Linked DNA regions of Struthio camelus. The protein of the gene in region 3 purifies or fractionates together with the protein of the main gene of each other region. This does not show direct contact. Links are inferred from orthologs where the notes say so. Each region holds a gene or a part of one and is shown on either strand. Other genes may lie near its edges. The genes, in order: PHLPP1, KCTD5, NHERF2 and ARHGEF6.

Region 1 (7,905 bases), on a different chromosome or scaffold from region 3:
AAGAAAAGCTGAAGCAACTACTGACCACCTCTCCCACATTCTCTCCTGACTAAAGAAGAGCACTTGTTTAGCGTACTGTTCTCCTTCCCACCACACCATTAAAATCTCTATTTTACATTCACTGGTATTCACAACGGACAAGAATCTCAGTATTTTTGAGTCCTAAAGCACCAAAGTCTCAGGGCTCAGTCAAGAACCACGCTGCTAAGCCAGCTCAGCAAGGGGATGTCATTTGTTCCTACTTTGGTAGCACTACTTATCTTCGGCCTTATCTTCAGACAGCATGCTGTCCTGCAAAATAGGTAAATGTAGTAAGTATTTGAATGTATAATTGGACATTAAACAATTTCTCCTCTTCTTAGAGAGTGGCCAAGACCGTTTAGGAAAACAAGCAGTCCCTCAAGATTACAACAGGTATTCTATACAGACCAATTCAATTGGCACAGAAAGTATTTTTAAACCACTATAAAACTGCAAAGTGCTGCATAATTACAACGCGGGAACTAACTTTTCCACCTATACTCCCCGAATTCTGCACCACAAGCCTAACAGCGAGGCTGCCTTAAATAGCTTTCGTATTTTTACGATTAAGATTTGGATTAACTTGTTTCAAAGGCTATGCTCCGTATTGCCATACTTTCCTTTGCCTCCTGCCTTAATCTCGCTGTGAAGCCCTGCTACCCTAACAGACAGTTCCAGCTCTAAAAATTGATCACAAGTGCCAGCAATAGAGAAAACTAAGTATAGGATTTTGTTTGCAGGAAGGCATCACGCTCAGTTCAGGAGTTTGTGCACCCTGTACAATTCATTTCAGAAGTTAAACTGTGAGGATCTTCCCTTACATCCCTTCTCAATAACCCCACGTTGCCCTCAGCGCCGTTATTAAGCAATTTAAAAGACACACCACAGCAAACAGCTAGACTGAACCGTGAACGAGCCATCAGCATTATGCAAATGTCTGAAACGGGCTTTGACCTTCCGCCCTGAAGAGCGGCACCAACGCATCTATCTCCCTTCCCTGAAGAAGGCGACAGATTAAAACCGATTTAACCTCAAACGCCGGGCGTCGCTGATGGGAACAGCAAACAACCCGAGAGCAGCCTTCGTGACCCCAGCGCGCTACGAAACACCGGCCCTGTGGGGGCCAACGGGAGCGCTCAGGCAACCGGCAACTGCCAGCACCGCTAACGGCCCCGCCGCAAATCCGCCCCGCTCCGGAGCCGGGGGGGGGGAGGGGGGAGGAGGAGGAGCGGCGCTGCCCGCCCCGCACCGGCCTCGGCGCCTCCCGGCCGCGCCGGGCAAACCCCCTGCCGCCCTGCCCCACAGGCCGCCCCGCCGCCGCCGCACCAACGGCCCGGGCGCGCCCTGACGGTCGTTGTCCCCCCCTCCCGCGCGCCATCCCACCTAACGGTCGCCGCCGCCCGCCCTCCCCTTTCACCTGCGTAGAAGCGGATGAGGCAGCCGGTCTCCGAGTCCATGCCCTCCTCCTGCACCCGCCACAGGTCCCGGAAGCCCAGCTGGGAGAGGTAGTCGTTCTGGATCTGCAGGGGCTTCTCGTGGGCCTCCAGCCGCCGGCTGGTCTCCCCGTGCAGCTGCACGTACAGGGCGGGCGGCCCCGGCGGCAGCTCCCGCCCGCCGCCCGCCGCCGCCGCCCTCGGCGGCTCCCCCGGGCAGGGCTGGCCCCGGCCCGGCCCCGCACCTGCCTCCTCCCCGTCGGGGGGCACCGGCTCCACCTCCAGCTCCTCCGAGGAGGACGAGCCGCCGCCGCCGCCGCTGCTGCTGTAGGGGTCCAGCCGGTCGGAGACGCTCTCGGCGCTGGGGCTGAAGCTCTCCGTGTCGGAGCCGGCCGGCCCCAGCTCGCCCAGGAGGGAAGGGCAGGACAGCGGCGGCCCCGCCAGGTACAGCTCGCTCGGCGGCGGCACCGGCGCCCCGGGGCTGAAGTCGGAGGGCGCCGGGCTGGGCCGGCCGCCGGCCAAGTTACCCTCCTCGGCGCTGCCGCCCAGTGGCAGGCGGCCGGGCCGGGCCGCTTCCCCGCAGTCTGCGCCGGACGAGCCGCTGCGCGTCCCCCGGTGGCTCCTCGGCTTCTCGTCCGGCGGCGGCCGCCGCCTCTCCGCCGCGGGCTCGGGCGGTGCCCCGGCGGGCGCGGGGGGCTCGGCGGGGGCCGCCGCCGCCGCCTCGGGCGGGGGCTGCGGCGGCGGCGCGCCCGCCTTGCCCAGGACCCGCACCACGCTGCTGCCGCCCCTGTGGCCGAGCTGCTGCAGCCGGGCGGCCACCTCGGCCGCCGTGGTCTCCAGGGTGCAAAGCACCGGGCGCAGGTAGCAGTTCATGTGGCGCTCGTAGACGTGGACGCAGCCCCGCTGCAGGTCCCGCCGCACCCAGTCCCGCTCCGGGGGCTGCAACGGCTGCAGCTGCCGCGGCGGCTTCAACAGCAGCGCTTTCCTGTCCAAGCTGCGGGTGCCCAGCGAGGCGGCGGGGGCAGCGGCGGCGGCGGCGGGCGAGGAAGCGGCGGCCGAGAGGTTCCTCTTCAGCCTCCCCCTCCGCAGGAGCAGGGAGTTGGCGCTGCCGGCCCCGCCGGCGGCCGCCGGAGCCCCGGTGGCCGCCAGCGCCGCGGGGGGAGCGAAGCCGCCAGCCACCCCTCGCCGCCTCCGCGGGCCGCCGGCTCCTTTACCGTCCAGCTGCCCGGCCCCGCCGCTGCCCGACGGCTCCACGCTGCTCTCCGCCGCCTGACTCCTCCTGCCTGGGGAGCTACTCTCCGGCTCCCCCCGCCCGCTCCCCGCCGCCGGGGCTTCTCTCGTTCGCTGTTGCGCGGGCTCCATTGCCCGCGGGGCCGGGGATGCCGCCGCCGCCCTGCTGGGAGCGCCGCTCCACGGCCCGGCCCGGCCCGGCGCGGCGCGGCGCGGGGGGAGCGGCAGGGAGCGAGGCGCCGCGTTCCGTGGGGATTACGTAGCAGCGGGGAGCATTCCGCCGGTGCCGCCGCGCCGCGCGCTCGGCTCAGCCCCGCTCCCCAGCTGTCGCGAGCGCCATTAGGGAGGGAGAGGGCGGGCGGGCGGGCTCTGCCCTCCCGCGCCCCGCGCCTCATGAATATTTAAGCAGCCCCCGCCTGGCCGTTCACAAGAGCCGCCGAGCGAGGCAGGCTCGCGAGGGTGACGCCACCGCTCGCGCGGCGCGGCGCGGCGGGGCCTGGCCGATAAACACAACGTGACCGCGCCTGGTGCCGGGGGCGGCTGGGAAGCGTAGTCCAGAGCCCGCCCGCGGACTACGAGTCCCGGCAGCACCCGCTCCCCGCCGCGGCGGGGGGTTGCGCCGCTGAGCGCGGCGGCGGGCTGGGCTGGGCTGTCTGGCGTGCGCGGCGCGCTGCCGGGCGGCCGGGCTGCTGGCGGCCCTCACGCCGTGCTCCCGAGCGTTGTCCCCGGCGGGCGGCCGGGCGGCCGGGCAGCCTGCCGCCGCTTGCTGCCGCTGCTAAAGGGCGCCCGCCTGCCGGGCCGAGCACGTAGAGCCCTAGTGCGGTCCCGCCCCTGCTCTCCTGCCCGCCGCGCGGGTGGCGGGGCCCGCTGGGCTGCCCACCCTAGGACCGTCGTGTTTCAGAGCTGCCCGCTTGCCACCGCCAAGCTTCCCTTGCGCCTTGCTTCCTTTCCTAGAAGCTGTTCATAGGAGCTCCTGTGGGGTGAGAGCACGCCGAGGGGGCGAGCGTGAGGGCGGGAGTCCAGAACATACTGGAAGTCTCTTCACTTCCAGTCGTTGACCCTGGGGAGGTGTGCTATGCTGCGACTCTTTGCGGCACGGGGCTTAAGCAGTTTTAAAATTATTCCAGGACTTTGTCCCGTGCCTGATGATTATATTCCTCAAGTCTTATCAGAAGGTTTTGCAGAAAGAGCTGATCAAGGGAAACGGTATGGCCTGCAGCACTGATAATGAGACCTGTGGGCTGTCACCCTTCTGCTGTGCCTCGCTATGAACACCGGTGCTTCACAGTAATTGCTGGCTAATAGCCATCTGGCAACATACACGACATGATTTTACAGGTTCATTGACCATAGCCATGCCATTCTCTTAAACCTGACATATCTTCCTTATTGCCTGTCTCAGCTGAGCCTGAGCTATCTGCTCATCTGAGACAGTCTCTTCAGAGTCAAGATGTAAACGTGTGCGTGGGAGATAGAGATATATATATATAGATATATATTTGTATGTATATAAAGAGAGAGAAAAAGAGCTGCTTTGTGAGTAGGTGCACAGAGTTTGTGTGCTATTAGCCTGATGTGTTCAGGGACTGAAATTACTGAAAATACTTAATTTTTAAAAAATTGCTTAGTAGCAGCAGCAGTTGGGGGAAATGTTGCTATTTAATAACATGATTTTAAATGAATTACAGAAAAGATAAATTACAATCAGATAAATGCAATTAGCAGCTGAAAGCATGAGTTTTTATGCTGTAAGGACAGAGTATTCAGAAAAATCTCTTAAACTCATGGGGATGTTTTAGCTGAGTAATGTCAGTTGGATTAGGCTGTAGCTGCTTGAGATCTTTCCTTTTTAATTTTGTAAAACTGCAATGAAGCATCTTGCCAGATATTCATCAGAAATGCTATAGACTTCAATAAAGTGGGAGTTCTGGGCAATTAACCAGTTACATCAGTGTTAGGGGAGATAAATCTTCATCACTGAGAACCCTGAGATAAATCCTCAGTGTCAGTGAACCAGTACTTTTGGTTAGTTTTTTTTTTAGTACATACGCATAATATATGAACCATAAATAAACCAGAACCATAATAAAACTAAAGTTTATCTCTTCTAATAAAACACTCCTCCACCCTTGCACAGTATTGTCTTCACACCCTGTATGAGTGGGTTAAACACGTCACAGAAAACAGAGTTATTCCCTAAGGAACCTACAACAGAATGTACATATATAGAGAGTTGTTATTAAACAGCTGTCTACCTTTTAAGAGATTTTGTAATACCGAGGATCATGTTTTACCTTTATATGGAAACCATCCACTTTGTGAACAGAGCAATCTGTAAATTAATTGTTATGTTGTGATCCTGCCGTTCGCTCGTCTATATCTGCAGTTCCAGTCACCAGCAAAACGTCTTTGGAGTTCTTCCTGCGCTAGATAGCCAGAATCACATCCCAAACATAAACTAACAGAGGGTGATGGCAACACTTGGCCGTAAAAGGATTAAACTGATGCCCAAAAACTCCAACGACGGTAGCAGTACATGCTATAAGAGCAGCACTGAGCGTGTTGCAGTCTGATTCTGACTGCTTCGTACGTTCTCTTCAATTTTTTCTGCTGATTTCACAGCACCCTAATGCCACCAGTTTCACTACAGTTACTCCAGGTGTCTTGATTTAAGTGTGTGAGAATAAAGGCTTACATGCAAACACACACAGATACACTCAGCAGGAGACAGTAAGTTGTAGATACACATGTTAACAGTAATAACTCCTTAAATGTAAATAACATAAATAAAAGGGAGCTTCTAGAAAAGTTTGCTGCCCTGGAAGGAAGTTTTGTTGCTATTTTGCCTTGGAGGAGATAGGGAGGGAGCAGGGAGAGAGTGTTCATAGTTAAGATTGCACTAAAAAAAATCCAGAACACAAGAGATTCTCAGATATTATTTAGGAACATAGAACTGGAAAAGAGATCTCATGGGGACATCAAGTTTTCTCCCTTATGACTGCTGATACCGCATCCCATAGTGCTGCGTGTTTGTGAGGTCTCCCTAACACTGTAGATTAACTTCTGGCATATCGTTTTGAAATGGGCTGACTTGATTTGCCATCGAAATGGAAGACAAATGGAAGACAGTGCCCTAATGGCTGGGAACTTTCTTCCCGTTTTCAGTCTGAATTTACACATGGGTAGCCTATACTCATTTGTTCACAAGCCAGTATTGCCCTTTGACTCAAATAGCTATTTTTCACTTCACTCCCGTCAAGTATTTTTCCCCCAATGTACTTATAGGCAGCAATTGTATCCCCTACCAGTCTTCATCTTTGTCTTTGTCTGACAGACTAAACAAGGCAAGCTCTTCTCATCTCCTCTGGTGAGATAGTCTATATAGCGTAAGAACACACAGCTAAGGTCATTTAAATAGCCTTGGATCAGATCCTCGGTGGGGTGAACTGATAGAGCTCCTGCTCTGATTTACTCTGAAGCTTTCTCAGTCCACGCAGAGCAGCAGCAATCTGCAATACAGCTCTGAGAACTGGCGAGCGACTGCACTGACCTCACTCTTCCTGTTGCTAGGCTAACTTACCACTGCCAGGGGCCTTGCTAATGAAGAGCTTTATGCAATTAAAAAACAAAGTAGTGGTACTGAAGTCCCAAGGGTGGAAAATTGTTGGAATTATCACTGCTTTGTGAAAACTGTTCAGGAGCAGAAGGCTACAGTGAGACTGCCAGCATCCTCTAAGACCTGAGTTGTGCCATCAGGAGAAAAGAGACCACATTGTAGCTCTTCATAGTTTTCTGAATATGAAAGCAGTGGTTTCTGCTGTGACTCTACCTGTCCAAATGTCAGTGGTACAAAGCCAGGTTATTTCTACTTTATGCAGGGAAGTGTTTTTCATCAGCAATGTCTTCCTATATTTTCTTATATATATATATTTGTGTATTTGAAATCTGTAATTGTATGCATATTCAAAGTGAACTCCCAGGCGTATGACAAAACTGTACTATTCACTGTTTTCCAGTAACAGATAGTTTCTAATTCTGCTGGAATGGTGAATTTTGATATAGATTGACCGCTGCTATAAGACATGTGAATTGAGCTTAGGAAATTGATTTTTCTCAGGAGGAAGTGGAAGGATGAAATACACATTTCCCTTTTCCAAAGTTTGATTGACGACGGCTGTTTGGAAAAAAAGCAAAATGAAACAAGATGATTTGCAGTCTTGAGTTTTCTGACCAGAATCTGGCAATCTTGAAGAAGAGTTTTCTGTAAACAAAAAACTAAGGAAAAAAAAAAGAAATTAGCCACAGATTGCTATAAATGCTTCCATACCAAAACTCTTTATATCGAATGAACAACTTATACGCTGCCATGGATAATCTGCTAGGAGAATGCCAAAAGGCCTGGAAACCACAAGATGACTTTGGTGGACTTTATTAAATATACGGTTATCAGAGACAGGGAGATCTCTGTGCAACAAGAGCAGACCAAAGGTTAGGTGAAAGCTTCGCAGATGCTGGAGTTGCTGCGGTGCTTGCTGGCTACCCCTCCGCCAGCAGTTAGCCCAGCTACAGTGGGAGACGTCAGGCTGCCATACGCCCTCTTATTGCTCAGTAGCAACCATAGAGCTGATTGAGTGAATAACTGTAGTGGTGCTTGGAGTACATTAACTCCTATTTTACTACTTATAAAATCTGCAGGAGGGCAGCCTCCCCTGTTTCGCACAAATTCCCATAAAGCCCTTGGGGACACCCTGTGCTGTTACTAGATATTTCTACAGGGCAAGGGACAGATTATGGGCATCAGTTGATCTCTGTGGTTTTACTTTCTCATTGCAAGCGTAGAGGAGTGGACCAGGTCCACCTTCGGTTCATTTTACTGCAAGTTCTGTTCTATATTAACATTTTACCATTTCAGTTAGTGTAATCCTGGCTATTAGCTACAATTAATAGTTAGCTGGCGGGCAATTCAGTGACACCTTACTGCTTTTCTCTGTGTTTTCTGAAATACTTCCAGCTGTCATGGGATAGTACAAACTGCATACAGCTTTTGTGGAAAAACACTTTTTCAGTTTTACCATGAACTATTTTCAAACGGATTTTTTTTTTTTTTTACTATATCAAATATGCAATGATTACCCAGTCTGATTTTTATTTTGAAAGATATCGTTTCAAAATAGTGTGACCTCAGTAAACAGGAATTGCTTAATCCCCAGTCCTTGACTAT
Region 2 (7,464 bases), about 1.8 Mb from region 3:
GACTGGAGAGAGCACCAGAATACCATATTCCCGTTCTACATTTCAAATCAGCTCCAGTCCTGTTCCACTGTGGGTTCAACAGGCTACTCACAAGTACAGGGCAATGCAATTTGTTCGCATCTTTTTAAACCGGTTTCCACCAGACCTCTTTATTGGCAAGAAAAGAGACACCCAATAATATCTGAGCAGCTCAGATAAAGTATAGACATCTTCCTTGTAAACAGAGCTACATCTTCCTGCACCTGTGACTGCAACCGGTTTTACGTTACCACATACACTATTAAAAACTATAGCCTATTTAAGTCCAGAAATATGAAAGGAATACATCAGGTTTCTCCATACCCTACCAAATAGCTAAATAATCTTAGCATAAATGTATCATTTGTTGCTACAATCCACTGATGCAAACACCGTAGAAAGAAAAAGGTTAGAGATTAGTAGCTCCATACAGTTTTGCAAGATATAAACACTTTACTGACTATTCTTGTGAAAGACGATTTAGTCATCAACTGATGAAAAAAGTCTGCCAAAATACCTTAATTAGGACTAAATCACATCTTCTAAAAACGTGCCTAGTCTCTGAAGACATCAAGAGGTAGCAAATCCACAGCTTCTTCTAGTGGATTAACTGAAACACGTGCCTTAACTATTAAACGTGTTATTTTTTATTTAAGAAACCTGAGAAGAAAGCTTTTGCTTTTCTTCCCAAGTTAAGACAGTTGTTGACTCTAAGCAAGTCACCTAGATTTTTTATTTCTTTTTATAGGTCAGTTTAAGCTAAGCCTCTCCAGAAAAAACAAACTGAACCAAAACAGAAGTAAAAAAAAACAACCCCCAAACTGCCATACCGTGAGGTATTTTTTCCATAACTCTGGAACATTATTTAGGCTCTGTTCTATATTTTCTCAAGTGTTTCTAGATCTTTTTTTAGAAGTTAGGCATGGGAAAATGAAGAGATTTACTACTGGTCTCACTTAAAAAAAATAAAATACAAAGAGAAATTATATATCTAAAAATCATCTCTTTATTCTTCATGTGTTGTTTATCTATTCAAGGATCACAAGCTGTTTCTTTCTTTCTCCTAAGGGTGCTACACTGGAAGTCCACTTTTAGTGCAATATGCTCTGAAATCTCTTTTGGAGCCAGCGCTTTCGAAGATGGTCTTCTGTTCTACTAGTATATTCTGTATTCTCTGTTCCCAGATGCATGACTTTGCATATCTGTCTGTCCCGGAACATATTTGGTTTGAAAAGACCCAGTTTTCTAAGCAATCCTGATTGTTTATCTGAAAGCTTTATATCCGTTACTACACGCCACTCCATACATAAATTTTTAATCAATAGCTTTTCTTTTCCTAGTAAAAAATGAATCAGAATCAATACACAAATATCACCCCTGTGATGCAGCCCATACAGTATATATAATATTCCACTCAGAAAACCTGCTGAGACACAGAATGCTACAACCAACTGAGAAAAGTTATTCTTCTAACATGCTGAATTCTAGCTTCATGCAGTATTCTTTAACAACAAGCAGAGAGATCCATACAGAAAAGTAGCTTGATTTGGTTCTTCAAATCGAACTACAGTGATGACAGTGCAGAAACAGCATGACATCAATGCTAGCATACACTCCACTAAAATGCTAAAACTAAATCCATAAGGTAAGTCAGAAAACCACAAAAATTAAATAAACACATAAACGATCCTGAGCTCCCTTTGATATGTCCGCACGTATGTGACTGTGTTATTCAAGAACCAAATCAGTCTGCAAGAGATCAGCCCATACCCACCCTCCAAATAAAAATTCCTTGAAGTACGTGGGCTCGTTAAGCAATGCTACCCTTCAGAAACTCCCCCAGCAGCGGCAGAGCTACAGCCCGGAATACCTGCAGACCGAGACCCGACCGCGCTCTCGCAGGACCCAGCTCCGCGCTCCCCTCTGCTGCTGGCAGCGCTCCCCGCAGGAAGGCGGCCCCGCGCCGCCGCCGCCGCCCGGGCTCCACGCGGGACCGCGGCCGGGGGAGCGCGGGGCCGGGGGGGGAGCCGGCGGCGGACGGGCCGGCCTGGGGGAGCTGGCTGGGGGCCGGGGGGAGGGAAGACGGCGGCAGACGGGGCCGTTGGGGAGCCCGGGGCCGGCCTGGGGGAGCCGGGGGCGGGGGGGAGCCCGGGGCCGGCCTGGGGGAGCCGGGGGCGGGGGGGGGAAGACGGCGGCAGACGGGGCCGTTGGGGCGGGGGGGAGCCCGGGGCCGGCCTGGGGGAGCAGGGGGCGGGGGGGGGAAGACGGCGGCAGACGGGGCCGTTGGGGCGGGGGGGAGCCCGGGGCCGGCCGGGGGGAGCAGGGGGCGGGGGGGGGAAGACGGCGGCAGACGGGGCCGTTGGGGCGGGGGGGAGCCCGGGGCCGGCCGGGGGGAGCAGGGGGCGGGGGGGGGAAGACGGCGGCAGACGGGGCCGTTGGGGCGGGGGGGAGCCCGGGGCCGGCCGGGGGGAGCCGGCGGCGGGGGGGGGAAGACGGCGGCAGACGGGGCCGTTGGGGCGGGGGGGAGCCCGGGGCCGGCCTGGGGGAGCAGGGGGCGGGGGGGGGAAGACGGCGGCAGACGGGGCCGTTGGGGCGGGGGGGAGCCCGGGGCCGGCCGGGGGGAGCCGGCGGCGGACGGACCCGTGCTCACCTTGTCCGAGTCGAGGTCGGGGTCGGCCTGGCAGAGGCGGAAGAGGAAGGACTTGGGGTCCCTGCAGAGCGTCTGCCGAGTGGTCAGGAAGCAGGTGCCCCCCACGTTCAGCCGCACCCACTTGCCGGGGACGGCGCCGGGGGGCGGCGCGGAGCTGCAGCGGCGGCAGGGCGCGCCCGAGCCTCCCAGGCTGAGGCCGCCGATCGGGGGCACCGGGAAATCGCAGTGGTTCTCCGCCGCCATTCCCGCAGCCGCCGGAAGCGCCGCCCCAGCTGCGCCTCCCACCGGAAGCGCCCCTCGGGGAACCGCTCCCCTCCCGCCGCCGCCGCCGCCGCCGCCGGCCCCGCCCCCGCCCCGGAAGCGGCGCGGCGCTCGCCCGCCCCCCCCCGCCGCCGCCGCCGCCGCACGGAGCAAGGAGGAGGCGGAGGCCGGCCCGGACCCTACATGCCTTTATTACAGACTACCGAGCATAAGTGAAATCCATCATCCAGTCACTAGCTACACATGTACAGCACAGAGATCTGTCGAGAGGAAAATAAACAGTCATTAAATTATGAGATATGATTAAATCATCGACCAATAGAAAATTTATATAATAAAGCCAGAAAAAAGGTGTAAAATATAGTTTACAATAATTATTCACATTCAAGGCTGTACATCAATACATACAACACCATGGCCCCGAACATGAATTCAATCCAAATAATTCATATATTAGAATTTAAATAACATAGACTGAACTAGAGGCCAACAAGAGCCAGCAAATAACCTTATAAGAATAAAAATACAAAAGTGTGTATCTTATCATTGCAGTATCTGCTTCCATTTTCATATGTTCTTGGGGTAGGGGAATTGTGTGTGAGAGGGAGAGTGGCTGTTTGGGGGGGTGGGGATTTTTTCCTTTTTTCTTTTTTTTTTTTTCCTTTTTTTTTTTTCTCCTTTTTTGCTTTACCTGTACATCACAGTTACAGCTACAAACCAGGTAGAGAATATTATACACATAACTGACTGCCACCAACCTGAAAAACACTAGCATACAACTATCAAAACTGATTATGGTTCCTAATTTTTTTGTCAGATACAGCAATTTTAAGTTCTGCCACCATTCAGAACATTTGCCACATCCAATCAGAGCTGGTACATGGTCATAGGATGTTTTGTCAAGTGGTAACCATCCAAATTCACTGCCATGCAGACAGACTAGGTTACTGGGTGCTTAAGAACTTCACCATGTTCACTGTATAAAGTCATATTTCTTAGGAAAAAAAATGAACTCCTCAATTCATCACGGTCCTCATCTTAACTGAAAATGTGCCATTTTGGGTCAGAGAATTACTTGCCTGCAAGCGCACTTGATCAACAGATGGACAATGTGTGTCATGAAGCTTTGCAGGAGGAACAACTCCTTTTGATTAATAAAATATTTGCCTAAAATACTACAGGCATTCAGTAAAACTTAATATATAAATACCACACCTATTTGTGTAATTCCCTAGTAGAAAGAATAATCAGAATCCACAGACCACATCTTTAGACAACTATTAATACACAAGTTTTTCATAGATGAGGTGTTCAAATTAAGTGTTCTTTCATCCACAGACCAAAGGAAGTTGTTTTGACTTTGCTAAATCATTCAGAAGAAAAATTCATGTGTGGAAAATCCCTAGGATTCTTTAAAGCTCCCAATACAAAATTTAGTAATGTTAAGCACAGTCATTAAGCATGTTGTATTATGAAAGTGGAGTAGATGCATCACATCTTTTTTCAACCTGCTGAAGTTTTTCTGGGATTATATATAGCAGATACACTTCACAGTTAAATCATGGTAGGAGGAGAAAAACAATCAGTGGAGCGCAGTACTATTTGGTAGGTTATGGTGTCTTCAGCATCTACTGCTTAGCAAATGACAACTTATTAGCCCGGGTGGCTAATAAGTCATAATATAATAAGTATAATAATTAGTCTGCTCCCACTGCTTTGCCATCACATCTGAAGTTGAAAGAGGTACAAAAGTCATCTTCAAAGTCCAGTTTTGAGCAGGAAATATTTTAAGGACAGTGGCAATTGAGTAATTTCTCCATTTTTATCAAAGAAGTTCCAAACTTTCCATGACTGGGCTAGAAACTGAACAACGTGGCTCAAAAATCCTTTCTAGTAGTAGTACTTCAGCCTTTAAGCTCCACCCAATACAAAAACGATGCAACAACCACTTTCCTGAACTTCGAATCTCAAACAAAACATGAGTCACATCATTAACCACCAAAATCTTTACAAATGATAGGTAAGTGTTCAATTTGCACAAGACTGAATGAATTACGAGACTGCTTTTTTTAATAGGGTTGCAGTGAGGAGCCTGAAGAGTCTTTCAGTGATTAGCAACCTTTTTCTGCTCGGAAAGACCGCAGATTAAGAGCAGGGAGAGTAACTTGTTTATCTGCAGCTTTGAAAAAATCTCCCTCTTGTATTTGATTCCATGAACTCCCATGAATCACTGGAGTAGTCTTCAAGACAATGATTTGAAATTATCCCATTCTTCAATTATACACATCTAAAATAGGAACTAGCCCTTCATAGTATGCAGCACCTTCCAATACACATTTAAGTGGGCAAACTGATGAAACTTACTTAAATCCACAGTTGTTTGTCTTGCCTCACCCTACCCTTCCACCATCTTCCAAGAACTACAGCTTTCACTTAAAGTCAGAGAAAGGCAAACACCTCTCCCAGAAAAGCTTCTGGTCCCTTCCCAAAAAAGCAGCAGTTGAGGAAGACTCAATTCAGAACATTAAAGTTCTGAAGGGAAGAATGCCTGTAAGAGAGGCTCACAGTTTTCTAATGATGCCATTGTCAAAAGAAAAAAAAAAAAAAGAAAAGAGAAAAGGAATACTAGAATACAAACATCAATTTTCCAGACTTCTGCAGCTTACTGCTGTCAAGATTTCTTTGGTTGAAAGTTTTTGGGGGCAGGGAGGAAGTAGACAGAGGAGTTTCTTTTACGGTATGAAAAACCAAAGGAAGTATTTTGTTATGGCAAGATGACTGCACATCTAAATGTTATAGAAAACATGTCTGAATATTTTTAGATTTCCACATATTTAGCTGAAGCTAAGGCCAGTGGAGATCACTCTAGTTCCTACTGAAGCTAAGAAATTCACTAGTAGCAGAACAACTTTGCCAGAGACTCTTGGAAGCCAAGTTTTGGCACACTGAACAACTGCAGTAGCATCATGAAACTCCATCACTGCCAGACTCTCCAGTATGAAGTTGGGAATATGTCTATATCTCTATACCAAAAGCTAAATCCAGAATCTGTACAATTCCCTCTAGTGGACCCAACTTACAGGTGGAATTCAACAGCTACAGAACAAATGGGTACCACCACCACAAACTCAGACTGCATGTCATCTTGGTTATGATGATAACTATAGGTTTAACAAAAGGTGTACTGCGCTATTCAGATTTCACTGGCGAGGAGTCTGCCTTCTATGTGGTGAAATTTCTTATGATGGAACGTGAACGGTCTGTTTTTCTTATCTCGGACACCTTAGCTCCCCTAACACCGGGCACTGTAAGCTAGTGATTTACTTTTCTCAAGCCTGTGTATATGGTGGGATAACATAAAAGACAACTGCAAGAATATAGTTTCACCAAATGAAAAAGCAACTGCACTGTCTTCTTTAAAGACCGGAAGAGACTAAGAACTGAACTGTCATCAAGCTTAACCACACAATACTTTTTTTTTTTTTTTTTTTTAAAAAGAATGCACAATAAACCTCCCTCTCCCAGTACAACAAATAAATCTAGCTTTCATGCATTTTCTGAGACATCTGATAAGCCACAAAACAGCAGCCTGTGAGTTTTCTTAACATTACAGCTGAACTTTTTTCTTTAGTGGAAGGAAAAAGCACTTCATAACAGACCTCAAGAGGCAAAGAGATGGTGGTATTTGCAGAAGATGAATAAATAGGTGTGATGTTTATACTGCTTTTAAAACAAGGAAGGAATGCCTTTGCCCAGACCTGGGTCATCCCTCTCTGCAACGTTCAGGGACATGGGTGTGTTGAAAACACCATTAGGGAAGTCATTTTAGCATGTAGGAAAAGTTGTCTTTGCTACATTGCAAGAAATGTTTGACCACAAAAAAGCCTTAATTTGAAAAGGATAAAGGAGACTGATATGAAAAATATTTTCATTTTATAGATATGCCTTAAGTACCATACATTTTCCCCTTTGTATTAACATTTTCATTTGAATTTTCAACCATTCAGATTACTGTATGGGTCTAACACTTAAACTGTTTAAAACTTTTTTCGGAATTGCTAAAAGGTCTGAAGTATTTGCCCAAAGACCAAAAATAGGATTATTTGTACATCTCATTATACAAAGAGACAAAAATCAAGTAATCAATTGTACAAAGTTTTCACTCTTCCTTCTCTACCCAGGTAAATAGGTTGGCCCCACTAAAATGCACAATACATGCACACCCTGGAAAGAAAGCTTCCAGCCCTCATCTCCTGAAAAGGTGAAAAACTATTTTACTACTTCAACAGTAACTTTTTTTTTTTTTTTTTTTACACTAACTAGTTAATTTTTTAGTTAGCATTAGTTAAAAGCATGCTGGTAAGTTTATTGTCCCTTGATTAAACACACGTATGCATCAAATTAAAATTAAAATTCAAAGTTTAAAACTTTATATGCTTCAGAAGCCAACATTTCAATTTTAGAAAACTTTCAGTGCCATGTTCAGCATTTTACTCTCTCACAACCTGTATCATCGGAGTCCATCTGCCAGACAC
Region 3 (6,913 bases):
CAAAGGCGGCCCAAAGCCGAGTGCGAAACCTTTCATTTCTCGGGAGGGCAGTTTCTGAAGCAGGGAATGAGGTCAGACTTTGCTGTGCAAACTTTAAAAATCCCGGCCTCTCCCCCGCAGGGAGGCTGCCGGTCAAGCCCACTTTCTGTAATTGTGAAACTTTGCACAGCGTATGTATTTTGCATTAGCTAGGGAATATTGTCAGGCCTAGAGCAAGCAGCGGTCGGCGTACAGGTGTAATTCTATGTAAGTGCTTAATAAAGTGCAGTGAATGAATTATAAATGAACCTGTTTGCTTTGGAGCAGATGTCAAATGAAGAGAGCTGCACATTCTTCCAAGCCAATAAGCATGCAGAGCCGGGAAACTTCCTCAGCTTTCAAGTTAGCCCCATTAAGACTTAAATATTTGCCCAAATCAAAACGCATAGAAATCTAAATGGAAAAAACACCCCTCACTTCTGCAGTATCTGTTGAATCTAATCATGACTCTGGTATATCGGTAAGTGCAGAAGCCCTGATGGGCTCTCTGCTTTTTCTCTGCGCGGCTGCAGAGTCCAGCCGACGCTGCTTAGGAAACGGCAAGCTCTTCTCGCGAATTAAAGGGGTTTTGTGCTGCGCGAGGATGCATATTCGCACAACATATTTCCACATTCTTCCCAGCTCCCGTACATGACACTGGATGCTTTCCCATCGACCGCAGCGCAAAACACAGCGTGTCTCGTCAAGCCACGTCCATGCCAAAGCACGGCTTGCAAAGCCCAGGAGACCGCGTCGACGCTTGGAAGCAGAGGCGCAAAACCGCCGGGCTGAACCAGCGCTCGGCCGCGTCGTCCCCGTGCCGCGCAGAGGAGGAGCGGTTAGAGCAGCAAGGAGGGAGGGCGAGTCACCCCGCGGCGCGTCGGGCGCCTCCGAGCGGGAGCAGCCTGGGAAACGCTGCCCCGCTGACGGGCGCAGTGCAACGCGCGGGGAGGAAGGCTCGCACAAGTCTTCCTCGGGGCAGTTTGCAGAGCCGGCAGCAAGGCTGGGCTGCGTCCTCTTGCCTGGCAGGTGACGCCCAGCACCGAGCAGGCTGCTGGCCCTGCTTAATTTCTCTGTCGTTAATAGATGTTTCCTGGGGGGAAAGATGCCTTTTGAGGATGACAAGGACAGAAGGGAAAGCAGCAAATTCAGACAAGACTTGAGAAAGAGCTTCTGCTTTAGAAAATAAGCATTTTAGGAAAATTCAAAAATTTCATTTTCACGTTTTTGGAATGGTATTTTTCCATGTTTTTATTTTGCAGGTTACCAACACTTTTTTAAAGAATTGTTCAAACGGGTTAAAACCGTTCTGATTGACCACCCCAAAGATTTTCTCCCTTGTGGTTTTTGTTTTTGCACTGAATAAAAAGAAAAAAAGTTTTCGTTCAAACAAACTGGAAACAATTCCTTCTCTTCTCCCCTTCCCTCCAGCTTTTCAGTTTGCCCAGTGAGCGGAAAAATCAATTATTCGCACTCACCTCGGCTGATAAAAAGGCTGCACGACTCCGCGGAGAAGCTCGGGGGGTCCTCATGGTACACGGCGATAATCGCCGCATTTCCCGGCTCTCTGGCCTCCGTTCGTGTCGCCCGGCGGAGGCGGCCGGCGGCCTCCCCCGGCGCCTCCGCTCCCGGCCGAAACCTCCCGGCAAGGGGCGGCGAGGCAGCGCCAGGGCTGACCCCGCAGCCGGGCGCTGAAATCGCTCCTGCCTGGTGGTCCTATTGCCCTCAGCGAAGGCCACCGAGCGCTCGCGGTGACCATCTCGCTGGTCCCAGCGATACCCGCTGTTGTGCCGTCTCCTTACGTGCGAAGTCCGTACGGAGCACAGGGCATCTGGCTGGTCACTCTTGACGGAGGTACGTGATGCCATTCACTCCAGGACAGCACCTTCCCTCTAAGACACTTAGCAAGCATCTTCTCGATTCAAACATCTTTCAGACCAAGAGTTACTTCATGTACAGCTTCAGTGGAAATATTTTTTTTTAATAGACCGCAAATTAAAAAGCAAATCAACGTTCATCTCTAGAGTATTTTATTTGCAGCCTCAAGTTGGCTGTTGCATTTGCTTCAGCTCTACAGAAATCTGCCTGGAGAGCAGCTGGGGAGGGAGCAGCGCCACGGAGTAAAGCTAGACACGCTGTGACAGAGGAGCAGGACGAGCCGCTCCGGCTGGGCCGGCCGGTCGGCGCAGCGCCTCTCCTCCGGCTCGTTTCTGCCTTGTGAGCGGTTTCAAGGAAACGCCGATCAGGGACGTACAAGGGCGAGGAGGGGAACCTGTGCGTCCCACCAACACCAGCTCGCGCCATGCTGCAGCCCGGCCGGCGCCTGTCAGGCGCGCTGGGGACGGAGCAGGAGGCTGTCCGGGCTATAGCAGGGCCTGTCGCTGCATCTCCAACCGAAACGCTGGACCCGCATGCTGAGGAACGCCATCCGCCCCGGCCGGAGCGTATGGAGGACACGAAGCGTTCGGTGGAAGCTATGTAGGTATTGGGTGAGGAGATCTAGCCACGGCCCCTGTTGACAAGGAGCCCAGGATCCTAGTGGGAACCTCTCCCACTCCGGAGACATGGAGAGAAATGGGGTCCTGGGCACCCCGAGCATCTCCCCGCTGTGTGCCTCGGGCATCCCGGGCGGCCCCGCTCCGTGCACCCCGAGCATCTCCCCGCCATGTGCCCCGGGCATCCCGGGCGGCCCCGCTCCGTGCACCCCGAGCATCTCCCCGCCATGTGCCCCGGGCATCCCGGGCGGCCCCGCTCCGTGCACCCCGAGCATCTCCCCGCCATGTGTCCCGGGCACCCCGGGCGGCCCCGCTCCGTGCACCCCGAGCATCTCCCCGCCGTGCGCCCCGGGCACCCCGGGTGGCCCCGCTCCGTGCACCCCGAGCATCTCCCCGCCATGTGCCCCGGGCATCCCGGGCGGCCCCGCTCCGTGCACCCCGAGCATCTCCCCACCGTGCGCCCCGGGCATCCCGGGCGGCCCTGCTCCGTGCACCCCGAGCATCTCCCCGCTGTGTGCCCCGGGCATCCCGGGCGGCCCCGCTCCGTGCACCCCGAGCATCTCCCCACCGTGCGCCCCGGGCATCCCGGGCGGCCCTGCTCCGTGCACCCCGAGCATCTCCCCGCTGTGTGCCCCGGGCATCCCGGGCGGCCCCGCTCCGTGCACCCCGAGCATCTCCCCACCGTGCGCCCCGGGCACCCCGGGCGGCCCCGCTCCGTGCACCCCGAGCATCTCCCCGCCGTGTGCCCCGGGCACCCCGGGCGGCCCCGCTCCGTGCACCCCGAGCATCTCCCCACCGTGCGCCCCGGGCATCCCGGGCGGCCCTGCTCCGTGCACCCCGAGCATCTCCCCGCCGTGCGCCCCGGGCATCCCGGGCGGCCCCGCTCCGTGCACCCCGGGCATCTCCCCGCCATGTGTCCCGGGCATCCCGGGCGGCCCCGCGACCCCGGCCCGGCCCGGCCCCCCCCGCCTCGTCGCTCGCCCGGCCCCGCCCCCGTCTCCGCCCTCAGCCCCGCCCCCGCCCCTCCGCGGCGCTCCCGGCTCCGCGGGGCAGCGCGCAGCGTGGCCGCGCCTCGCTCCCTCCCCTTAGCCCCGCCTTGGCACTTAGCCCCGCCCCCGTCCCTTAGCCTTCCGCCCCCATACCTGCCTTTAGCCCCGCCCCATCCCGTTGCCCCGCCCCCTCCCCGCCCCGGCGCTGCGCTCCCGGCTCCGCGGGGCAGCGCGCAGCGTGGCCGCGCCTCGCCCCCAGCCCTGAGCCCCGCCCCCGAGGTTTAGTCCCGCCCCCGGGTCTTAGCCCCGCCCCCACTCTTAGCCCCGCCCCCTGGCCTTAGCCCCGCCCCGGGCTGGGGGCGGGGCAGCGCGCAGCAGGGCCGCCCCCAGCCGCGCCCACCGCCCCGCGCCCGCCGCCGCCGCCGCCGCCGCCGCCGCCGCCGCACATAAAAGGGCCGCGCGGCCGCCGCCGCCGCCCGCTCCGCTCCGCGCCCGGCCATGGCCAAGGACCAGCTGAAGCCGCGGCTGTGCCACATGCTGAAGGGGGAGAGCGGCTACGGCTTCCACCTGCACGGCGAGAAGGGCAAGAGCGGGCAGTTCATCCGCAAGGTGGAGCCGGGCTCGCCGGCCGAGGCGGCGGGGCTGCGCGCCGGCGACCGCGTCGTCGCCGTCAACGGGCTCAACGTGGAGCAGGAGACGCACCACCAGGTGGGGAGCGGACCCGGACCCGGACCGCGGCGGCGCGGGCCCCGTTAAGTTAGTTAACATCCTGCTCCCGGGCCGGAGCTGCTGCCGCAGCATCCCCGGGACGGCCGGGGGCGAGCGTGGCCAAGGCCGGGCTGGGGGAGCTGCTGGGGCCTCTCTTCCTCCTCCTCCTCCTGGCCTCGAGCAAGCGCTGCTCCTGCAGACACCCCCGGAGCTGCCCCGGGATGGACCCTGGAGTGGGCAAGGCCTTGCTGCTCTGGTGCAGCTGTTTTGGGCTGAAGCTGATGATATTTGCATCTTTGCTCTGCCTTTTTTTGTTTTGCTTTTTTTTTTTTTCCAAAGCAGAATGTGTTTTCTGGGTGTTTGGCTCTTGTCCCAGAGGCCTGCTGGGCAGCAGGGCTGTGCGCCTCTGGAGCGGCCCTTGCCTGAGGGCTTGGTCCCCAGGGGCTCCAGAGGTGCCATTGGTCCTTGTCATCCTGCTGGAGGAGCAGTGCCGGACGGGGGTGCCTGTCCCTCGGCTCGGAGGAGCGCGGGCCTCCTGCTGCAGCCCCTCGGCCGCGCGGGGCCGTGCTTTGGCAGCGACGGGGCTGATGTGCTCTCGGCAGAGGTGGAGGTTGCAGATAAGCCCAACCCTTCCTGGGTCTGAGTATCTCCACCACTGTGGGGTGTGCGCGGTGCTGATAGGGTTGGGGGGAAGCCCTCGGTCCACCCCGGGAGCCGTTGCACGGATGGGCGAGTTGCACGCTGCTGGCTCGCTCTGTGCGAGAGCGAGCGACGGAGCGGCGCCTGGTGAAGCCGCCTCACCAGGCAGCTGGTGTTTGGCAAGGGTGGAAAGACGCCGGCCGGCTCAGTTACGCTGGTGCCGCTGGTGCAGTCTGGGGTGACAGTCTGTGCGGATGGAGGTGCGGGAACGGTGCTGCCGGGAGCAGAGCTGGGCTCGAGGATGCTGGCGCCGCTCCTGCTGCACCTGGTTTGGAGCGACTTGTGGCTGGTGTGCCCGCACTGCTCCGTGCCCCGCTCAGCGGCAGCTCACCCACCAGGCCTTGGCCAGCGCTTGCCTGGTCCCTCTCTTCCAGGGTTTGCTGCCATGAGGCAGCAGTGGGTTGGAAAGCGTTTGGGGACCCGTGGGTGCCTCCCTGCCCTGGTGCCGATGCACCGTCTGCTGGCAGAGCAGTTCGTGCCGTGCCAGGCTGGAGCACTAGCAACTGAGCTGGGGGTCTCCAAGCAGGAGAGCGCTTTGCTTCATGCCGTGGCTTTGCACGGCGTTACCCAGCGCTCAGCTTCCCCATAGTGGGGTCAATGCAGGGACAGCATCCGAAATCCCTGACCCTTGAGTTCCCATGCTGGCAGTGGGTCAGCTGCTCCCTCCAGGAGCTGGCGTGGTCTGTGTGACCCTGTTCTCAGCTGGTGACTTTGCCGCATGAGCGCCTGGAGGACCCAGCTGCATGGTTTGGGGGCAGAGCGGGAGGGACGCAGTGGCGCAGCACCCAGCTGCCTTTCTCCTGCGTGCACCCCCGAGGCGCTGCCTGGTGGCACCTCTCCTGCCGCCCCGTGCCTGCTCCCTCGCAGGAGAAATGGCCTCGCAATGGTGTTGCCTGGCCCTTGTCGGCAGCGTAGGCGGCTGCTGCTGTGTGCAAACGGAGCTGAAAAGGAGCAGATGGATTTTCTGGGCTTCGGTGGAATAGCATCTCGTCAGGTCGGTTATGGATGGGAGCCCTGGGCAAGCTGCCGTCCGGTACGGTGCAGGGAGATGGTTTTCGGCATTCAGTGCAGTCGTTTATTCAGGACAAGCAGCCTTGTCTGCGGCCTATAAATCTCGCCTTGGTTTTTTCATTTGCAGATACGGAGTCTGTTGACCTTGAACGGAGCATGCAGGGGAGTAAATAACTGCTAACTAATTGCACATTAGGCTCGTTTGTCACTTCTAACCTTGGCGATGGTAACGTGTCTGGCTGGCGTGACCTAGATCAGAGCAGGAGCCCTGTAAGGAAACGCAGCCCAGCTTTGTGGGGTGTCCTGGGCCACCCGGAGCGCCGTGGCTCCGGGGTCCGCTTGCTGGGGCGGATGCGCGCGCCACAAGCTGTGATGCTGGCAGGAAGGGGGTTGTGTTTCGTCTGGGATCCGCGGCAGGCTCTGCCTGTCGAGGAAGGTCGGACAGCCCCTGCGTGGGGCGGCTGATGCCGGGATCCCCCCGTGGGTGAGCGGGAGGGGAGTGAGTGCCATGCAGGGGCCAGCATCTGTCCCCCCAGCCACCTCTCCTCCTCCTCCTCTGCAGGATGAAGGCTCCTGCAGGAGGAAGGTGCTGTTCAGCCTGTTGGAGCCTCTCCACCGAGGCTGCTGGCAGGGAGTCGTGGCAGCGGTTTCGCTGGCCTTTGCCCTGCTCCTATGTATGTCCTTAACCTGCCCCATTCCCATTGCCCTGGCTCAGCCCCATGGTTTTGCCTCCCAGCCCTTCTGGGGCTGTTGCCCCTCGTGCGCGGGGCGAGCCGGGGCAGGGAGCGACTCGCAGGGTGGGAAAGCTCTCGCTTCCCTGTGCGTGAACCGCAGGCTCGCCCCTTCCCGCCGCGCTGGGCTGACACCGCGAGCCCCTTTCAGAGCATCTGCCAGCTACAAAAACCATAGAAAACGGAGGCTGTGCGTGGACAATGGTCCCCATTCAGCCGAGCCGGGAGCTGGGGAGTAGCAAGGACGGGCCCAGCTCCTGCT
Region 4 (7,041 bases), on a different chromosome or scaffold from region 3:
AGCAAAATTCCTGTTTTCACTTGGTGCTCTAATATGACTGTTACTAATATTTCTGGTACCATGAAAAAACAATGAGAAATTATTTTCATTTGGCTGCAAAATTTAAATGCAAGCTTGAGAGATTTGAGCTTTTATTTAGCTTTAGAGGTCTACTTTCGATTTGAGCTTTTATTTAGCTTTAGAGAACTGAGAAGGGGCAATCACGTGCACTATGAAAGTAACTGAAGGCTCAGAGTATTTCAACGATTACGGGGCTTATAAATCAGAAAAACAAAAATTTGGAACTCTTTTCTTAAAATAAAACCAAGAAAGAAAAGGAACAAGTACGATCAGAGCTGCATCCAGGGCTGGATGCAAAATATTGCCCATCCCTAGTATTTGAAAATTGTGAAGTGGGGCTGCAGTATTTCAGGACCAGATTAAAAATTATGAGATTTTAAAGCGTGACAGAGTTCAAGACTGTTCCCTTGACTTGTATTTTTGCAGTTTGATTCCTATTTTTAGTGTTTTCCACCACAACAATTATGACTAGATCTATTTTTTAAATAGAAAAATAATCTCTCTGAAAAACTGAAAAAAAATCACATGGTCAAGTACCAGAAGACTGGCAACACTGATTTCTGATCTGATAGCCCTTCAGTGATTCTATATGTGTCTGCTCTTAAAACTAGGCTGCTGCAGTAGGCTTTTAGCAATGGATTAGTGGGAAACAACAGGCTAGTTAAACACTTCTGGAATGAAGGAATTTTCATGCCGGCTAGCTAAAAAGAGAAGAGTGTCTCTTTTTGCTTGTTTAGACCTCCAAAGGAAAAGCACAGCAACAGGGCTGCCATGGGTTCGACCCTCTCTCACTGTGGTGCATAATTTTCTGTAATGCCCAAGGATGCTGTTCCCTACTTCTAGCGGAATTTATCTTCAGAATATATATATATATTTTTTGTAATGTGGATAAAACTTCAAACAAGTTAGTGACAGCTCTTAGATACAGGGTCCTTTTTACTGTAGAAATTTAAGGGTTATATCAAAGTTTTTAAAAACATTTTAAATGCATGTGCATTTGTAAAAATATAACGGCAAAATTATCTGAACTCTTAAGTGATGCATTTGGACTCTGTTCTTGTAAATACGAACGATGATTAGGCATAAGAATCATACAGCACCAGGAATAGCCACTGAAAAGTTATCTTTTGTCTACAATAGGATTATTTGTATGTATAAGGACCACTTCATATGACGTATTTGGCAGAATCTCTCTCAGTGCTTGCAAATGGATAAAAATACTGCAGTATTAAGAATATTTCACCTTTATACTAAAGCAAGGCTAAAAATGGCAAGCCCTTGTGGGGGAGGGAAAAAAAAAAAAAAAAAAACCAAAGCGGTCAACACAGCTCAACTGTGTTTAGACAGAATTTCTGTTATCGCTGTGTATATTTCTATGTGACTGTTTAGATTCCTCTCAAAGTCTTGAAGGAATCTGTTAAGCTCACAGTCAAAACACTCCATTTCCAAATTCTCCAGCCACAATATTACATTACCCACATTCTTATTCACGTTCCCGATACAAAAGATTAGGAATGACTACCTGCCCCTCTGGTATTTGGCTTCCTTTTAGAATATATATTAAACAAGCACATTATGAGAACAAAATAATGTGAAGGATACTAGTTGACTTACCTCCACTTTAAAAACTGCACAGCCTTTTAGGAACTCTTGAATATTACTGATGCAATCAGCTTCATTTTTAGGCTCCAGACAATACTAAAGAAATAAAATCCACCAAGATCACTATGTTACCTTCTGCACAGCCTCTATTCAGAAGGCCTGCATGAATATTGACATGTGCGTTTTATATTGAATTAGGGAAGCTTCTTAAGGGGGCGGATGGGGGTGGCAGGCAAGCTGTCGAACCAGGAAGAAAGAGCCACCGGAGGAAGTGATGCATAAATCGAAATGGTCGGCATCTTGTTTTGAATGTCAACATACGACAGTGCCCTAAAGCGATAGTGGGAAACTGATGACCTTTAAGAATGCACTGCCCCAAACCATCATATATAAACAAGAGATAAGTAGCTAACAAAAGTGATTTTTGCTTTTTAAACAAAGGCACCTATTTTACAGGGTGGGGACGAACCTGCTTCTTCCTTTAATTAAAACAGATTCTCTTCTGTGCTGCCATTTCCTATCTCTCATCACACTCCTTCCCCTTTTTTCCCCACAGTTACTTATCACTGTTTTGGACTGCACACACATATGCCTAGCAAAACCCTAATACAAGGTTCTCAGATGGCTTAAACTGCTTCAACATAAACGTATTTGCTTGACTTGAAACAGTTCAAAATGGCACGGATGCAAGGTTCATTTACTTCTAGCCTCATCTTGCTCTCCCCAATGTACTTCCTGAATAGCAAGGTATTTTACAGTGACAGTTCCAAACTATATTTACTTCTATAGAGACAAACCACACATCCATCTGTTCAAAAATAAGGTGTTTTTTGACTTTTGGTAGGCCTAGTATTTCCTCTGCCGCTGAAAGGAACACCTAAGTCGCCAAACTACAACCTTCTGGGTTTTTGTGGATGTTAAAGAGAGAAAATCAAAAACCGAAAGCTAGGATCCTACTTTACCCTAAGTTAGATTTAACTAGTAACTTAAACATGTTGATCTTGCTGATCTTCCTCACTCATGCTACCTACCAAAGAAAACCATATCCTATAATAAGCAGTGCACTATTTCACCAAACAGCGCTCTAACTTCAGGCTAGTGAAACGTATCTAAAAAGTTACCTTTTCTGCAGATCCTGGAAGAAGGCGATTAATGAGTCTACAAAGCACTATTCCATCTTTCAGAGAAGTTTTCAGGAACTCCTCTGGATCCTCTACTATTTTCTTGGGAGAATTCAAAACTCCTAATGAAATAAGCCATGTTACAATTTGCTCTTCTGGATTCATTGCTGAGAGTTCTGCCTTCACTGCACTTCTGTGCAACAACTCGCTCTAACCCACATCCGTGATTACATCTTCCTGCCTCTTCTGGCGCGTGCAGGGCTTAAGAGTGAAACGACTTTTTTTCACTGGGCACTGAAACTCACTGAATTTTAAGAACCAGAACTATAGTTACTCTAAGGTAGGAAACGTCCTTGTACAATGGTTTACAGAACTCTGTTACTTCAAAGGGATATAGTGAAAGCATACCTACTACACATTTTCAGCATTTCTGAAAACAGAAGTATTCTGTGCAGATACTTATATTGTACCAAGGTCTTACCTAGTTACTTTCTCCTTGTGACAGATGTCATTCTACAACCTGGTAAGCTTGGTCTTGTGGCTATTGTTCAACAAAGTAAAGGTCAGTATTTCCTAGTGCACTGCAATATTTACAGTATTAAAATTGTATGTTACACTACAGATGATTTGGGGGGAAACATGCCATGCAAGCTTTTAAATAAAATTTAATTTTTAACTTTCTGAGGTAAAGTCTTCATTTTAAATCACTGCCATTTTACAACAGTTTTCCATTTGCAAAATCTGATTATGATTCTAATCACGCATTTGTCAAAATCTCATTTTTTTCCTCAACTATTTTATACAAGAAATAAACATATAATCCAAAATGTTCTTTTGCAAGATTACCATCTGTCAAAGCAAACATCTTGGGTAACTGTGAAAACTTCATAAACCAAATTTAAGTCTTTTTTTATATGAAGCAGAGAATGAAAATTTCCAACTATTTTACTTGTCCCATTAAAGCGTCCCTTTCTACAAGCTCTCTACAGGATCTACTGCATGAGGATAGAGTCGTTTTAGGAATTTTTTACCCTGCTCTAGGGTAATATTAGCCAGCACTACTGGTGATGTTAATTTAGTAGAGTCCAGTCATCTCACAGTTTTCCAACTGTCCTTTCACCAACAGACAGAAAACTACCATTTTCTAACCAACTCATGACTCCTAAGAAGTTAACTAGAGCAACAGGGATAGAAAGCAATGAAACAGGAAGAAGTAACTATCCTAGAGACCAAAAATTCTCTGACAATGTTCTAAATGATAAATCAATTCCTGAGCCTGTTGCTTGAAGCAGCTGGTTTCAAGACATCAGCTCTCTTGAATCGCTGAGGCTTATAATTTGAGGTGTAGGGAGAAAGAGAAGAGCAAAAGGAAAAAACTACATGCAAGGTATGTGTTGTTTTGTGTCCCCACTTTCCAGGTCCTACGACTGGGACATACCTAAGGATCATTTTTAATAGCTAGTAGTAAGAATTCAGAACTGCCCTTTTAGGTTTAGAGATTTTTGGCCACAGGATGTTGGGATGAATTCTGTTTTATATGAAAATACTAGTAACACTAGCAGCTGCCAGAGTGAATGGTTAACACTGACTGAAGCTAAATCACAAAACTCACTGCCATCTGGTAAAGTTCATCTATAGCTATCCGTATGTGCAGAAAAATTTACTTGAAATTTATAATTAGAGACCCTCAAAACAGTAGGCTTTTTTAAAGTTCTCATGAGCAGTACTATTTTGTTTGTGGAAGTGCATACTTGCACTCTCCACTTTCAGAGCTTGCCTTTTCTCAAATCTATAGTAGGCAAGATAATTGGCAATGCTCATTCATATACTGTGGCCCACCATTCTCAAATGGAAGACATCCACTCCAGTATTCTTGATTAGAATCCACCGGCTTCTGATGTAGAGCACGAGAAGTACTTCAAGGAAGGGAAAAATCCACACCTGCTTCATTAAACGCGGTACTACAAACCTGAACGCCAAAGAATACTTTGCTCATTCCCCCCTCCAAAACAAGTATCTAACCTTTCATTTTTTGGCAGACAGTCTTAAGAGTTCCATGCCTGTTCTGCATCCATCAGTTGCAACTATGATTAAATGAAAATACCTCTGACGTGCTGGACACGTACCAACAGCTCGAAAGACTGACCCAGAGCCATTTGCTCTCTCACACATTCAGAAAGCCCCCAAAACATATGGTACTCTAACTACTTTGAGGCCAACTTTTACATCTTTCAGAACATCAGGATCCCACTGAAAATGTACCGATGTTTTCACCTCTTCTCACTGGTGAAGTAATTCTGTGGCAGAACCACGGGTATCGAGGTAGATCCACAAAGTGAGGAACAGTTTCTTGTTTGGTCTTTCTTTGGAAAAGTTATCATCTCTGATCTCAACATTAGCTATCTGCTGACAGGGACAAATCAAACGAACTGTCAATCTTCTCATGCAGAGTCAACCTTCACCCCTAAGTTACCAATAAACTTCTATTGCAGTCTGATTCAGACAATGACTGATAATGACGATAGTATTAGCTTTAGAAAAGCATGTTGGTCTACAATCTCCTTTTAAACTAGAGACTTTCAAGAACGTAATTTGAGTCAGCGCATAAGCTAATGGGAATGCAGCACCAACATGATCTATTTACCATGTTAGGCAGACGTAATTTTTGTTCATACAGTAGCTCGTGTGCTGGGATTGTATTTTAGGCAGCCGCAGCCAGACGATAAACTACGGCTAAAAAGGCGTCTTTTAATAGCACAGCATATCACCATTCTTGAAGAAATGAGGTGCATTCTCTAAGACCTCTTCATAACAATAAACTTCCATTACTGTATAATAATGGTAACTATTTCCACCACGTACGTGTAGCTAAGAAGCAAGGAGTTCCTTAAACAAGCTAATAATGCTTTTGTTTAACAGTAAGTTTATTAGCCCTGGAAAATAATGCAATTCTGTCCATCGCCTTGCTACATACAGGAAGACGCACTCCCTAGAGTTTGCAGTCCATAACTGAAGCTCAAAGTGAGAGTCTTACCCCAAACCCAAAGGCAGTTTTAAATTCTTTCAGTAAGAAATGCATGTTTTCTTTTTAAGCTAATCCTTATAGACTAGGTGTTGTTTAAATAAAATCAGTTTATGTCTACAGTACAAGAAGTCAATATAAACTTTATTAGCCATGACTGTGTAAAGATTTCCATCAATCTGTAGTTAGCTTTATGAAAAAATGATGACTGAGGATTACTCTCGTATACATTGGCACATCAACACTTATGAGGGTATGAATGCACCAAAACCTAGGTAAATTAAGAAAACATCTTGTTTCTATAGAACGGCACATGTATAAGTAGTAGTAACGCTGGCTGGAGTTTTTCTGAATACTATTCTGGGGATTTATCACAAATATGGTTTTATCAGCACTTCCTTCCTCCCATCAAAAAGGCTTGAACAGTTATACCACTGTTAATGTAAAAATGTCATACAACTTTTATCGGTCTCTTTCTTTGTGAAGGACACCCTTTTCCTCTGCATTTTGGAGGGCTCAAACTCACTTTTATGAAACTTGCTCCTTTTTTAGCACACAACAAAAGCACCCTATGTGAAGAGCACCGCTGGAATGTTCTTCTGCTGCACAATCCACTGATGCATGTATACTGACTAAAAAAAAAGGGCTTACTACTTAGAAGAGGTTAGCTGCAGAAACAGCAACTGGTTTCCACTTATCTGAGAGCTTACATCCAAGAGATAAGTAGCACTACTTTCAGATGCAATTCCTGAATGAAACACAGCCCTCTAAAACAAATACTGGTCAACATCGTACTCAAAGCCCAAGTTTTATCTGTTGTATTTTGTTATCCTTCGATTTTCCAACACATCTCCACTGCTCCAGTGCCTTCTTCCAGTCCCCATAACTGAAAAGAGGAAAGTCAAGTTAGTACACTCTCAGAAACCAGCAGACAGACAAAAAGGCTAAATAATCTTTGAGTTGATCAATGTATTTATACATGCACAATGCAGACATTTGGGTTGTTTTCAATTTGTGCCAAGGGTATGAAAATACATCAGTACTTAACTACAACAATCGAAACAGTCTGAGGTCTACCTGTATTCCTATTGTACAACAGCATCTCCGGGGGGAGCACCAAGTAATTCCAGGGTACATCCCTTCAAAACTGCCACCACAAAATCCCACTGGCTCTCCCATAATAAACTGGTATGCACATACGCACATCTGTAAATAACGTTGTGGTGTGAACTGAAT

Evidence for each region.
Region 1: the proteins of NHERF2 (region 3) and PHLPP1 purify together in Homo sapiens (affinity purification with mass spectrometry; 3 studies listed by BioGRID and IntAct, with this or other methods). This does not show direct contact. The link is inferred for Struthio camelus from reciprocal best matches to the Homo sapiens genes NHERF2 and PHLPP1.
Region 2: the proteins of NHERF2 (region 3) and KCTD5 purify together in Homo sapiens (affinity purification with mass spectrometry; 3 studies listed by BioGRID and IntAct, with this or other methods). This does not show direct contact. The link is inferred for Struthio camelus from reciprocal best matches to the Homo sapiens genes NHERF2 and KCTD5.
Region 4: the proteins of NHERF2 (region 3) and ARHGEF6 purify together in Homo sapiens (affinity purification with mass spectrometry; 3 studies listed by BioGRID and IntAct, with this or other methods). This does not show direct contact. The link is inferred for Struthio camelus from reciprocal best matches to the Homo sapiens genes NHERF2 and ARHGEF6.

Annotation. Positions count from the first base shown.
Region 1 is NC_090943.1:92,380,765-92,388,669, reverse strand, and holds the start of PHLPP1 (PH domain leucine-rich repeat-containing protein phosphatase 1), read right to left. Parts: upstream 3,014-7,905; 5' UTR 2,817-3,013; coding exon 1,439-2,816; intron 1-1,438. UniProt on the Homo sapiens protein: Protein phosphatase involved in regulation of Akt and PKC signaling.
Region 2 is NC_090956.1:285,249-292,712, forward strand, and holds the start of KCTD5 (BTB/POZ domain-containing protein KCTD5), read right to left. Parts: upstream 3,019-7,464; 5' UTR 2,912-3,018; coding exon 2,669-2,911; intron 1-2,668. UniProt on the Homo sapiens protein: Its interaction with CUL3 suggests that it may act as a substrate adapter in some E3 ligase complex. Does not affect the function of Kv channel Kv2.1/KCNB1, Kv1.2/KCNA2, Kv4.2/KCND2 and Kv3.4/KCNC4.
Region 3 is NC_090956.1:2,049,826-2,056,738, reverse strand, and holds the start of NHERF2 (Na(+)/H(+) exchange regulatory cofactor NHE-RF2), read left to right. Parts: upstream 1-3,903; 5' UTR 3,904-4,000; coding exon 4,001-4,210; intron 4,211-6,913.
Region 4 is NC_090952.1:22,989,800-22,996,840, reverse strand, and holds the start of ARHGEF6 (rho guanine nucleotide exchange factor 6), read right to left. Parts: upstream 3,018-7,041; 5' UTR 2,949-3,017; coding exon 2,784-2,948; intron 1,814-2,783; exon of another isoform or gene 1,759-1,813; coding exon 1,675-1,758; intron 1-1,674. UniProt on the Homo sapiens protein: Acts as a RAC1 guanine nucleotide exchange factor (GEF).